3 linked regions of the Ovis aries genome follow. The protein of the gene in region 1 purifies or fractionates together with the protein of each later gene. This does not show direct contact. Links are inferred from orthologs where the notes say so. Each region holds a gene or a part of one and is shown in the gene's direction. Other genes may lie near its edges.

What was found.
Region 2: the proteins of STX12 (region 1) and NAPG purify together in Homo sapiens (affinity purification with mass spectrometry; 3 studies listed by BioGRID and IntAct, counting the BioPlex papers as one, with this or other methods). This does not show direct contact. The link is inferred for Ovis aries from reciprocal best matches to the Homo sapiens genes STX12 and NAPG.
Region 3: the proteins of STX12 (region 1) and NSF purify together in Homo sapiens (co-immunoprecipitation; 4 studies listed by BioGRID and IntAct, with this or other methods). This does not show direct contact. The link is inferred for Ovis aries from reciprocal best matches to the Homo sapiens genes STX12 and NSF.

What each region holds. Positions count from the first base shown.
Region 1 is NC_056055.1:239,287,288-239,290,787, reverse strand, and holds part of STX12 (syntaxin-12), read left to right. Parts: intron 1-1,807; coding exon 1,808-1,880; intron 1,881-2,569; coding exon 2,570-2,652; intron 2,653-3,500. UniProt on the Homo sapiens protein: SNARE promoting fusion of transport vesicles with target membranes. Together with SNARE STX6, promotes movement of vesicles from endosomes to the cell membrane, and may therefore function in the endocytic recycling pathway.
Region 2 is NC_056076.1:42,687,074-42,691,255, forward strand, and holds the start of NAPG (gamma-soluble NSF attachment protein), read left to right. Parts: upstream 1-1,382; 5' UTR 1,383-1,427; coding exon 1,428-1,483; exon of another isoform or gene 1,484-1,709; intron 1,710-3,311; coding exon 3,312-3,379; intron 3,380-4,182. UniProt on the Homo sapiens protein: Required for vesicular transport between the endoplasmic reticulum and the Golgi apparatus.
Region 3 is NC_056064.1:45,304,005-45,308,235, reverse strand, and holds the start of NSF (vesicle-fusing ATPase), read left to right. Parts: upstream 1-1,431; 5' UTR 1,432-1,598; coding exon 1,599-1,616; intron 1,617-4,231.

The sequences.
Region 1 (3,500 bases):
ACATCTATTTCTGCTTTATTGTGGAGAAGGCAGTGGTACCCCACTCCAGTACTCTTGTCTGGAAAATCCCATGGACGGAGGAGCCTGGTAGGCTGCAGTCCATGGGGTCACTAAGAGTCAGACACGACTGAGCGACTTCATTTTCACTTTTCACTTTCACTTTTCACTTTCACTTTTCACTTTCATGCATTGGAGAAGGAAATGGCAACCTACTCCAGTGTTCTTGCCTGGAGAATCCCAGGGACAGGGGAGCCTGGTGGGTTGCTGTCTATGGGGTCGCACAGAGTTGGACACGACTGAAGCGACTTAGCAGCAGCAGCAGCAGCAGCAGCTGTTTTATTGACTATGCCAAAGCCTTTGACTGTGTGGATCACAATAAACTGGAAAATTCTGAAAGAGATGGGAATACCAGACCACCTGACCGGCATCTTGAGAAACCTATATGCAGGTCAGGAAGCAACAGTTAGGACTGGACATGGAACAACAGACTGGTTCCAAATAGGAAAAGGAGTACGTCAAGGCTGTATATTGTCACCCCGCTTATTTAACTACTATGCAGAGTACATCATGAGAAACGCTGGGCTGGAAGAAGCACAAACTGGAATCAAGATTGCCGGGAGAAATATCAATAACCTCAGATATGCAGATGACATCACCCTTACAGCAGAAAGTGAAGAGAAACTAAAAAGCCTCTTGATGAAAGTGAAAGAGGAGAGTGAAAAAGTTGGCTTAAAGCTCAACATTCAGAAAATGAAGATCATGGCATCCGGTCCCATCACTTCATGGGAAATAGATAGGGAAACAGTGGAAATAGTGTCAGACTTTATTTTGGGGGGCTCCAAAATCACTGCAGATGGTGACTGCAGCCATGAAATTAAAAGACGCTTACTCCTTGGAAGAAAAGTTATGACCAACCTAGACAGCATATTCAAAAGCAGAGACATTACTTTACCAACTAAGGTCCATCTAGTCAAGACTGTGTTTTTTCCAGTAGTCATGTATGGATGTGAGTTGGACTGTGAAGAAGGCTGAGCACCGAAGAATTGATGCTTTTGAACTGTGGTGTTGGAGAAGACTCTTGAGAGTCCCTTGGACTGCAAGGAGATCCAACCAGTCCATTCTGAAGGAGATCAGCCCTGGGATTTCTTTGGAAGGAATGATGCTAAAGCTGAAGCTCCAGTACTTTGGCCACCTCATGAGAAGAGTTGACTCATTGGAAAAGACTCTGATGCTGGGAGGGATTGGGGGCAGGGGGAGAAGGGGACGACAGAGGATGAGATGGCTAGATGGCATCACAGACTCAATGGACGTGAGTCTGAGTGAACTCCGGGAGTTGGTGATGGACAGGGAGGCCTGGTGTGCTGCGATTCATGGGGTCGCAAAGAGTCAGACACGACTGAGCAACTGAACTGAAATGAACTGAACTGAAGAACTTTTTATCTAGTACTTCTGAAAATGCTATGAGATGGGTACTGTCATTGTCCACATTTTAGTAGGGAGGTCCAAAGAAGTTCTCAATTTAAGGTTGAACAAGACTGTGAAGGGTTAACAGTCCTCTGTAACTGATAGGCTCCAAGAGACTGTGCTTCTAATTACCTACCAGCATAGTACTCTGCATACAGAAGTCACTTAGTAAGTGTTAATAATTAACTTTATTTTCATTTTCTGTTTATAGAGAAAGCATGATTTATAAGCTTTAAAAACACATGTGTTATGTTAATAGCCAGAACTTTAGGTAAGTAGAGGAAATGAATCTTCCAACATGTTACTTAATATTGGTTAATTTTTTTGTGTGTATGTTCCTTAGGCTGATATTTTGGATGTCAATCAGATATTTAAAGATTTGGCCATGATGATCCATGACCAAGGTGATATCATTGGTATGTATTATTGATACCTTTAACATAAAGGTGAGTGGATAGTTTTTGTATGCAAAGAAGTCGGTAAGCTGTGTCTTAGGAATCTAGGAATACCATTTAAAAATCACTAAATTCATTTTCTTAGCAATTTTCTTACCTTGTCAAATGTGGAAATTAAACTGAGGCTTCCATGAATAGCCCATTCACTTGCCGTAGCCTCATGTTAAGTCTTTGGCTGTTTAGGGAAATTGCTGTCAGCTTCTCAGTTTTTATCTCCAGAAACTTGCACAACTATGGGATTTGAAACCCTTTTTTAAAAAAACTTTTTATTTGGAAATAATTTCAAGTTCACAAAAAGTTGCAAAAATGAAAATAACAAGGAACTCCTTTATAAGCTTTACTTAGATTTACTTCTTGTTAACATTCTACCCCATTTGCTTTTTATTTGCACTGTTTTTATTTACCTGATTTTTTTCTGAACTGTTGTGGATGATTTACATACTTCATAACCCTCTACCTCTAAATAATTCTTTGGTGTTTATTTCCAAAGAAGAGGGCTGTTCTCTTATGGGGTTGGTAACTTTTGATCTCATGGCTGGATAGTTGGAGTGATGATGGTGAACAGGACCCTTAGCATCAGAATGCTCTTCAGTTTGCAGTCTTGAAACATCCGACTGTGGTAAAACATCCTCTGCCCTTCTCTTTTGCAGACAGCATAGAAGCCAACGTGGAAAGCTCAGAGGTGCATGTAGAAAGAGCCACTGACCAGCTACAGCGAGCTGCTTACTATCAGGTAAAAGCAGGTACAAAAGAAAGTCACTCTGCTGTAGACTCTAGGGGCCATGAGAGTCACTGACACATGGAGAACAGCTGCAGCCGTCTGTTTGGTCTTAAGCTGGAGGCAGGCAGTCGTAATTGCCATCCCAGCCCCATTTTTAGTATTTTCCTTTGCAGAGAGATCTACAAAAAAGGCATCAAACTTTGAATAAACTGACATAAAAGCCTCTTAGCTACAAAGCTATCCCGATAAGCTAGCATGATACCTAATTTGGGGTAAGGCTAATTTTCTAACCTAAACAGATGAAATTTGTTTCAGTTAGGATAGTAATAGGTACAAAGTAGGACTTTGCAGATAATTTATGTTGACTGTTGCCACAGAAAATGGACAGAGGCTCAACTTGGACTGCTGTTTATGTATGAATTAGTTGGCTTATCATATGAGGGTTATTTTGCTGTGAACAAATAGGGGTTAATTGTTCTACTTTCTGTAAAGTGGTATTTTTCTACATATTATTTGAAACTCTGATTTTACGAACTTTATCCGGGTCTTCACCTCAGTTTACACATGTTGTGAATGAGGTCCTTCTCATTTCTCCTCAACCTGGTATTGCATGGGTTTTTAGAAACAAATAGCATTTAGTCATTTACCATGTTCCTAAGATAATTGTACTTCCCCTGGGACTGTTCTTAAAGAAATTGTATTTAACAGTAGTTTCCTTTTAAAAAGTGAGTGATGACTTTAATATCCAACAGTAAAGAACAGTCAAGTAAATTATCTACATCCACTTCATGTTATTTTATGTGGGAATTAAAAGATGTTTATGAAGAGTTTATAATATCACAAATTTTATTCTAAAATAT
Region 2 (4,182 bases), on another chromosome or scaffold:
AAGCAGTCCAACAAAATACAGAGTAGGACTCCACGAAGCCAAGTCAGTAGGTGGTTTTATTCCCTTTTATTCAAAGGGAACAAGGGACTTCCCTGGTGGTCAGTGGTTAAGACACTGAGCTTCCAATGCAGGGGGAACAGGTGCAATCTCTGATTAGGGAACTAAGATACTTCATGCCACGCTGTGCAGCAGTTTCTTCTCCGTCTTGAGTGATGCTCATCAAGAGGACTGTGCTGGTTCAAGCACCTGCGAAAGTGACTTATGTTGGACATCAATACTGTAGATCGTCCCAGCTCTACTGCACTCAGAGCTCTTGGGCAGCACTGCATAACTTACCTACAACATAGTGAGAGCATCGCTTTTATGTGAAAAGTTCAGTAAGAAAGCAAAACCGAATTTGACCCTGTCATCCAATGTCATCATCTCTTTTGTTTGGGTACTTCCAGGTTGTAAAAGCACGTGCACGTAGTGCCACCTGGTGTTCCTAGGCGGAACTGCAGGACACAGAGCCCACAGGCCTCTGACCGCAGAACCTGAGAGAGGGGGGAGAAAGCCACTTGACAGCCCGCTTCAATCAAACCTAGTAAACTCTCAAGCCCAACTTTCAAATTATTAGTGAAATTTCAAAAAAGCCCCATATGCAGTAAAGTTCACTGTGATTTTTTCTTTAAAAACATTTGGAAATCTATAATCCGTCCATGCACCTAAATGGGCGTAATGTGAGTTATTATTAATACAATACACTTGACCCTTAAACAACATGGGATGAATTGTGTGGGTCCACTTATATGCTGGAACCACCGTGAGTCGTGGGTCGGCAGCTGGTTTGCTAGTATTTCTGCGAATCCCTTGCCCCCGACCTTCAACCGCTGCGCACTGATGAGCATCAGCCCGTGGTTACCCAGCAGTGACCCGGACGCACAGTCGAGTTTGCAGATTGACTGACAGACGTTTGGCCCAGATGTAGGATGAATGATCCAGACTGTTCCGGCCGAAAAAGGAAAGGAACAGATCGCAACGCCCACGCGCATTCTTGGGAGAGGGAGGTGAGGTCCACCGGCGTGGGGTCCGGCCTGTTGCACTCCCTGCAGACCTGCCGTGGTTAGAACCGCACCTGATACATAACAGGTGCTCAACACACCTGAGCTCAACCCCGGCAATAGATGCACGAACCTCCTTCTCTACCCACCGCGCCTGCGCAGGAGCCACGCGTGCGACCATTCCGCGCGCTCTGCGCCTGCACAACGTCTGCGTGCATAACGTCTGTCTGCATAGCGCCTACGCGGCTTCCGGGCCGCTTCGCTGCGCTAGGTTTGAGCCCTGTGAGCCCCGGTAGTACGGCGGCGGCGCCGTCCCGGCCTCCTCTTCGGCGTTCCCACGCCCACTCGGCGGGCTCTCGGCCTCCACGTCAGGGCCGCGCCGCGGAGATGGCGGCTCAGAAGATAAACGAGGGGCTGGAACACCTGGCCAAAGCAGAGAAATAGTGAGTGAGGGGCCCAGCGCGGCCTTGGGCGAGCGCCGGGGTCGGCGCCTCCTAGGCCAGTCTGAGTCAGCACCAGGTGGGGGGCTCTGCCGCGGGGGCGGAGCCGGGCGGACGGGGTGGGGCCGCCGCGCCCCGGAAGCGCTGCCTTCCGCCGCCGGAAGTGGGCGTGCCTTGGGCGGTGGGGGCGCTGCCGGGTCCGAGCGCATCTCTCTGTATCTTCGCGCAGGTGCTCCTGGTTCCTGGCTCTTTGGGCAGTTACCTGGCCCAACTATGTTTTAAAATCTCTAGCTTTTCCCAAGTGTAGCAACAAGATGACTTAACGGATGTGTCTTGTCTTTGGTGGAATTTTAAAAGTTCTGGTGGACAATGGGGCTTCCCAGGTGACTCAGTGGTAAAGAATCCATCTGACAGAGCTGGAGACGCGGTTTCCACCCCTGGGTCAGGAACCCTGGAGAAGGGAATGGCAACCCACTCCGGTATTCTTGCCTGGAGAATCCCAACGACAGAGGAGCCTGGCCGGCTACAGTCCATGGGGTCACAGAGAGTCGGACACGACTGAGTGCGCGCGAGCGCACACACACACACGGTGGAAAATATAATGAGGACTTCGGGGTAGGGATGGGGATTAGAATTTTGCTTTATTGCGATGCTTTCTCAATTTTGTGGATTAGAGTAGACAAGCTGCATTTTAACCGTTTTGTTTTTCTTAGCTTGAGAGTTGTTTACAAATTTGAACCTTACAGTAGAGTTACACAAACATAAACTTTAATTGGCAAATTAAAAGGAACACAAGAAAGGCTGAACGTCTGCAGGCTATAGGGGCTTCCCCCTCTCTCAGTTAAGGTGCCCCCCTGATTCCTTGGCTTTCACTAACTGAATTCAGAATTTAAGATGGTGTTTTATTTAGCAATTCTTATGCACACCCAGTGTTCTTGCCTGGAGAATCCCAGGGACGGGGGAGCCTGGTGGGCTGCCATCTATGGGGTCGCACAGAGTCGGACACGACTGAAGTGACTTAGCAGCAGCAGCAGCAGCAGCATGCATACCTAAGTTTGACAGTCACAGGGTTAGTTTAAGCTGTAAGTCTGAAGTTACAGAAAGCATCAACGGAAAGGACACGGAGATGTGGGCTCAGGATCGATTGGCCTGTGGTCCTGGAGAGCAGCTGCTCTTGTTCTCCAGTCCCGCTCTCCTCCCCATGTTGCCCTGCCCTCTGGTTGCCCTTGCTGTCCACTGCAGCTCATTGCAGACTTCCTGCTGCCGCCCTCTGTCCCTCTGAGGGTTTGTCTTTCTGGCCTCGCTCTGCAGTCTCCTTGGAGGATCTTAACTGGGCGCTGGTGTGGCCTGTGTTGATGGCTCAGGTTATCTGTGCCTCTCCTGAGCTGCAGTCTCAGGAATCCAGCTGCTCACTGCGGTACCTCGACTGTCCCAGGCTTTAGTGCACCTCAGGGCTTGTTACACCCTGGATGCTGCTGATGCTACCCTGTTTCCGGTTCAGCAGGGCTGGGGGAGGCTTAACAATTCATACATTTCTAGCGAGCTAGCAGCAAATACTGGCACTGCTCGTCTGGGGACCAGGCAGTGATTACCTCAACTCTCCTTGGATGTTATGTAGACATTTCAGAAGGGGGAGACCATGTCTGTGACAGTGGGAGGGAAAGTGATGAAGTGTGTCCAGGAACTTTGGATGGAGGTAGACTAATGGGGACTTTCCAGTTGATGGTTCCCCTCTCTCCCTATTTACAGACCTACAAAGTCCTTACAAGCAGGGTTCTGACTTAAGAATGTGGTTGATAACTTCTGTTAACTGTATCTTCCTTTCATTTAGCCTGAAAACTGGTTTTTTGAAATGGAAGCCGGATTATGACAGCGCTGCTTCTGAGTATGGAAAAGCAGGTATCTGTGACAGTTGTCCTGCCTCCTGCAGTGTGTTATGTTGGTCTCAGCATAATTCTCACTCTTAGTGTTTCCTGTAGCATCTTAGTTCTTAGAAAAAACAACCAAAGACCTGCCCAGACCCTGTGCTTTTCTAGGTTCTGTTTGCAGGTGTCTTGAGTGCCGAGTTGCAAACCCGGCTGCGTCCCTCTCCCATGAGGGCAGACTGTGGGGTGGGCGCAGCTGTGGGCTTTTAGCATCATTAGCGTGTTCTTGAAGTGCAGTCAGTTCATACTATATACTTCCAGGAGTTGTCATACTTTTCTCCCAGCTGTTTCTGAATAAAGACTTTTTTGGTTCACTTTGTAAAGCGCGTAAGCCTCATTCTCAGCAGTTGTTTGTGCACAGCGCGTGTTAGCCTCTTGTTCTTTACAGCCTTGGTCAGAGATGTGCTGATAGTTTTTCATCCAACGTTAAGTTTATAGGCATATTTTAATATCTTGGTTTGCATATAAGATAAAAGCAGTCTGAAATTTCCAACAGAAAGAGAACTTATTACAAATTCAGCATTTTCAGTTATGGAATGACAGCTTTCAGCGTATCTGTGATGATTTTGGACATAAAGCATAGTATGATTTTGAAATAGGCTGAACACGTTTTATTGTGTGCTTCTGCGGTGGTTGTGATCACATGTGTTAGCCTTGGGTAGAAATCACCTAAGAAATCTGCTTTTAGCAGACTTTAGTTTTAGTATATCACCAGGAATAAAGAAGTCAGAAAAAATTAAAACTAATTGGCACAATGTAGGATATAGTTTCTAGAGA
Region 3 (4,231 bases), on another chromosome or scaffold:
ATGAGACACACACAAGAGTGTAGGTTTTATGCTTCCTCTTTTTACATTCTGTGCCCAGGACTAGCAGGCCAGTATGGTCGGTAACCTTAGACGGCCTTTTGGAGGTAGATCTGGCCATTCTCCTGGTTTGTGATTCCTACAGTTGAGATGAGACCTGGTTGGAAAGAGAACTGTCTCTTCTGGAAACCTAGCTATCTCTCTTGCAGTAGGCAAGAGATTGGGTCTCTTGATTAGGCCTTTGTTGCATGAGTGTAGGTACCTTGCATCCAAACTATATTTTGTAGTTTGAACATTTATACCATCTTTGCAATGGGAATTATTGGAGACTGCCCAACCATTAAAAAAAAAAACAGACCGTCATTTCTCAACTTCATTGAGGTATAACCTCTGCACAATAAAATATGATCAAGACATAGAACTATCTCAAAAAATTCTTGCTTTTTTGCTGTCCATTTCACCCCCATCCCAGTCAATCACTGATTTTGTGTGTGTATGGTTATTCTAGATTAATTTTTTCTCTTCTGAGATTTCATCTGATTCTAAGATGAGGCTTAAATAACCTCTTTTAAGGATCTGGCTTTACTCGGCGTTATGGTCTGAGGTTTACGCATGCTGTTACGTATATCAGGACGTAGTTTCTTTTTAATTGCTGGGTAGTGTCCATTGTATGCCTGTGCCACAGTTTGTTTATCCATTCAACTGTTGGCAGATCTTTGTGTTGTTTCCATTTTTGATTTATGAATAAAGTTGCTGGTGGACATTTGTGTACAGGTCATCATTTTCATTTCTCTTGACTTAAAATCTAGAGATCGATCTACTGGGGCACATTGACCTTTTAAGAAACTGCATCACGTCTTTGCCAGTATTTGGTGCTATCAGCTTTTACATTTTCCTTTGTGTGTGTGTGTGTGTATATGTGTGTGTGTTTCTTTTGAATACCGAAATGGGAAGTCTTTTCTTTTTTTTTTCCAATATAAATTTTGTAAAGGAATTTTAAGGCCTTACGGGATGTCAGGAGATTCATCTATGTGAATAGTTACTAGTCTGAGATGGATAGTGTGAAGGGTATTCTTACAGACTCTCCACAAGATTACTATAGGACATACAAGTTTGACTTATTTCTACCTATCACTTCTAGTCCCGCAGAACTTCAGAATTTTAATGGAAATTATTATTTCAGGAGTCATAGCAGAGTGATTCCATAGGCCTCAAGACAGGTGTTACTGATGGCCTTTCTCACACTGCTTTAGACTAGCTATGTCCAGTGAAACTGTCTGCAGTGATCCCTAATAGCCACGTGTGGCTCTCAGAATGGGACTAGTGCACCTGAAGAACTGAGTGTTAAAATTTTAACTAGTTTTAATTTTAATAATGCGTCTAGTGGTTATTTTATTGCACAGTACATTTCTAAAATGTTATTTTTCAGGAAACACATAGTTGAGCGAGACCTGTTAGTTGAGCTGGCTCTGGAGCAGGTTCACATAGGTTGTCCTACTTCCGTTTCCTGTGGAGGAATTTGTGTCTCTGGAGACATGTAACCTAGGCCTGAAGCACCACAGAGAAGACCAGTGGGTTCATGAGTGTTGCGGTTATTTGTAATGAGGTCTTTTAATCAGGTACTACATGCTTTGGTTTTTTTCTTTTTAATTTTGCCCTACTAATTCTTCAGTAAAAAATAAAGCATATACTTAGAAATCTAATTTTTAAAGCTAATCTTTGGACAAAAGTATGTTATTTAAATTTGAAAACCTGCAGTGTTGTCTGGAGGAGTCCTGGTTACACCCCTCTCCCGTTTTTTTTTTTTTTTGGAAGAGAAGAAGCCAGTTCTCTTCCTATACTTTAAAGGCTCTCACATAAGTAATGATGTCATTAGTTAGTCACGCAGTTGTGTCCGACTCTTTGCAACCCGATGGACTGTAGCTCTCCAGGCTCCTTTGTCCATGGAATTCTCCAAGCAAGAGTATTGAAGTGAGTTGCCATGCCTTTCTCTAGAGGATCTTCCTGACCCAGGAATCAAACCCGGCTCCCATGCATTGCAGGCAGATTCTTTACCATCTGAGCCACCAGGGAAGCTCAATGATATAATTACTTCTGCTAAGGTTTCCTTTAAAGGTTTGTTGAGATTTTCATACTTTTGAGAAGCGATGAATTAATAATTCTTTACATTTCAAGTTATTAAGGAAAACATTTTATAGTCTTTAGACAGTTAAATGTTCTAGTAACTCAAATAGTTAAACTTATAACTAAAATTTCCTGTCAGTTTCAATATGTTCATTTCATAGTAGTTACGTGGACATTGTGGCTGGGCTTTTGTCATTGTTTCCTAGAGGCAAGGTCAGTATTAGAAAAACTGTGGAATTTTCCTTTGCCTTTATTGTGATAAGTAAACAGCGACTATTTATAGGGACTTATATTCTAATGAGAAAATGAGATATCCTGCTTGGCTTGCCATAAAAACACAGATGCTTCTAGATTCCAGTAGGGAGGCCTTTTGCTCATAGCATCTGTTTCAGTTACCCAGCCAGATGACTTCTACAGAGTTTTTCACTCTTTTAAAGGACACCAAATCTTTGGCAAGAAAGCAAGTTCACAAAGGGAAAGGTTAAGTTAGCATTTTGTAAATTTTAAAATAACTTTGGGTGTATCAATTCTGTGTGTTAATTAAATTGTATCAGTTCCTGAATAACCTTGAAATGTCCTTTGCATCCATGTTCTTTGAATTGTTTATTCTGCAGTTGAGGTAGATTGTATTGATCCATACATACTAAGTTCATCTGTTCAACAAATGTCTGATGAGCACTGACTGTATCTAAGCCCTGTCTTAGCCTTGAGAACTGTAGACGCGAACAGGGTACAGTCTCAGTCCTTAAGAGTCTTATGTCTTTCATGCAGTATAAACAGACAGTAAAAAATATTCTTCCATTTGACATTTGTGTTTTCAGGAGGGGAAGGTGTTTAGGAAGGTCTTCTAAAAGATGTAATTCCTGAGCTGAGAGACTGGGACGAGTAGGAGTTGACTAGGCAAGGGGCTCAGAGTTAGGGAAGAGAGGAGAATGTAAGAGAAAGAAGCTTTTGTAGGTGAGAGAGACCCTAGGGCGAGTGGGAAACAAGGTCTGCACATTTTGATCAGGTGGCTGGTCAGACTGTGACTATGGGCAGAAGTACTGTCTCATTTGGAAAGCAGACTTGTGACCTAAACCTTATTTGTGTCATGTTCTAAATTATACCCCAAAGGATTATCCTGCAAACCTTTCAGGTGCGCGTGCCCCACTTCAGAGTCCATTGCTCTGAACGGCTGGGATAGCTGTGTGGAAACTAGCCTTTTAGTTTCAAACAAAAGCAAAGCAGAGTAATTTATTTCCCTCTATAAATTTGTATTTGGAAGACGAATTTACGGAGAATCAGCTTTGGCTTGATGTTTGAAGAATGAGCATGTTAGTCATAAACAGGCTACAAATGTCATATTTCACTAACTAGGAAACCCTAGAGGATGGAGGAAGGATTATTGGTTACATACATTGTATGAAGGAATGTTTTTCTCATAGCTGTTGGCCAAAAGGACAGTTAATTGCCATTTTATATTAAATATACCTGTAATTATTTTTGTTGGGAGATACTTGGAAGATAGCTTTTATTAGTCTACAGGAGATATGGTTCATACTACGTGGGATCTCTTATGAAGAAATGCTTTTTCATGATATACTGTATCAAATTTATATCATTGCATTTTTATCAGTCAGAATCTTTTGTCTTTTGAAGAAATGGAAAACCCAACCCACGTAAGCTTGAGGAAAAGGGGATTTATTGACTCAGCCAACTTTCAGAACTGGTCTCCAGGGCTTTAACTTCTTTGTCGGGTCTGAGTTTCAAGGTGTCGGTCTTTCTCACCTTTGCTTTCTCTGTGATAGTTTTATTCTTTCAGCGCAGAAAGCCCTTCTTCACTTGGTGGTGACACAAGGGAGAGCACCTGTCTTCTAGCTCCTGTCTATGTGAAACCCCATGGATGGATTAGGACTGTGATGATGGCCTGTGTGCTGTGATTGGCAGGCCTGTAGGAGCGCGTGGAATGGGAAAGGAACAGCTTCTGAGAGGCAGGGTTTGCTATTGCCACAGAGGAAGGGGTGCCCGGAGTCAAAAGCATTGTGTTTATTACAAGTAATGGGAAATAGAGAACAGGAAGGCATAACATATTCTTTAAGGATATAAAAGGTGACTTAATTTTGTTTTCCTA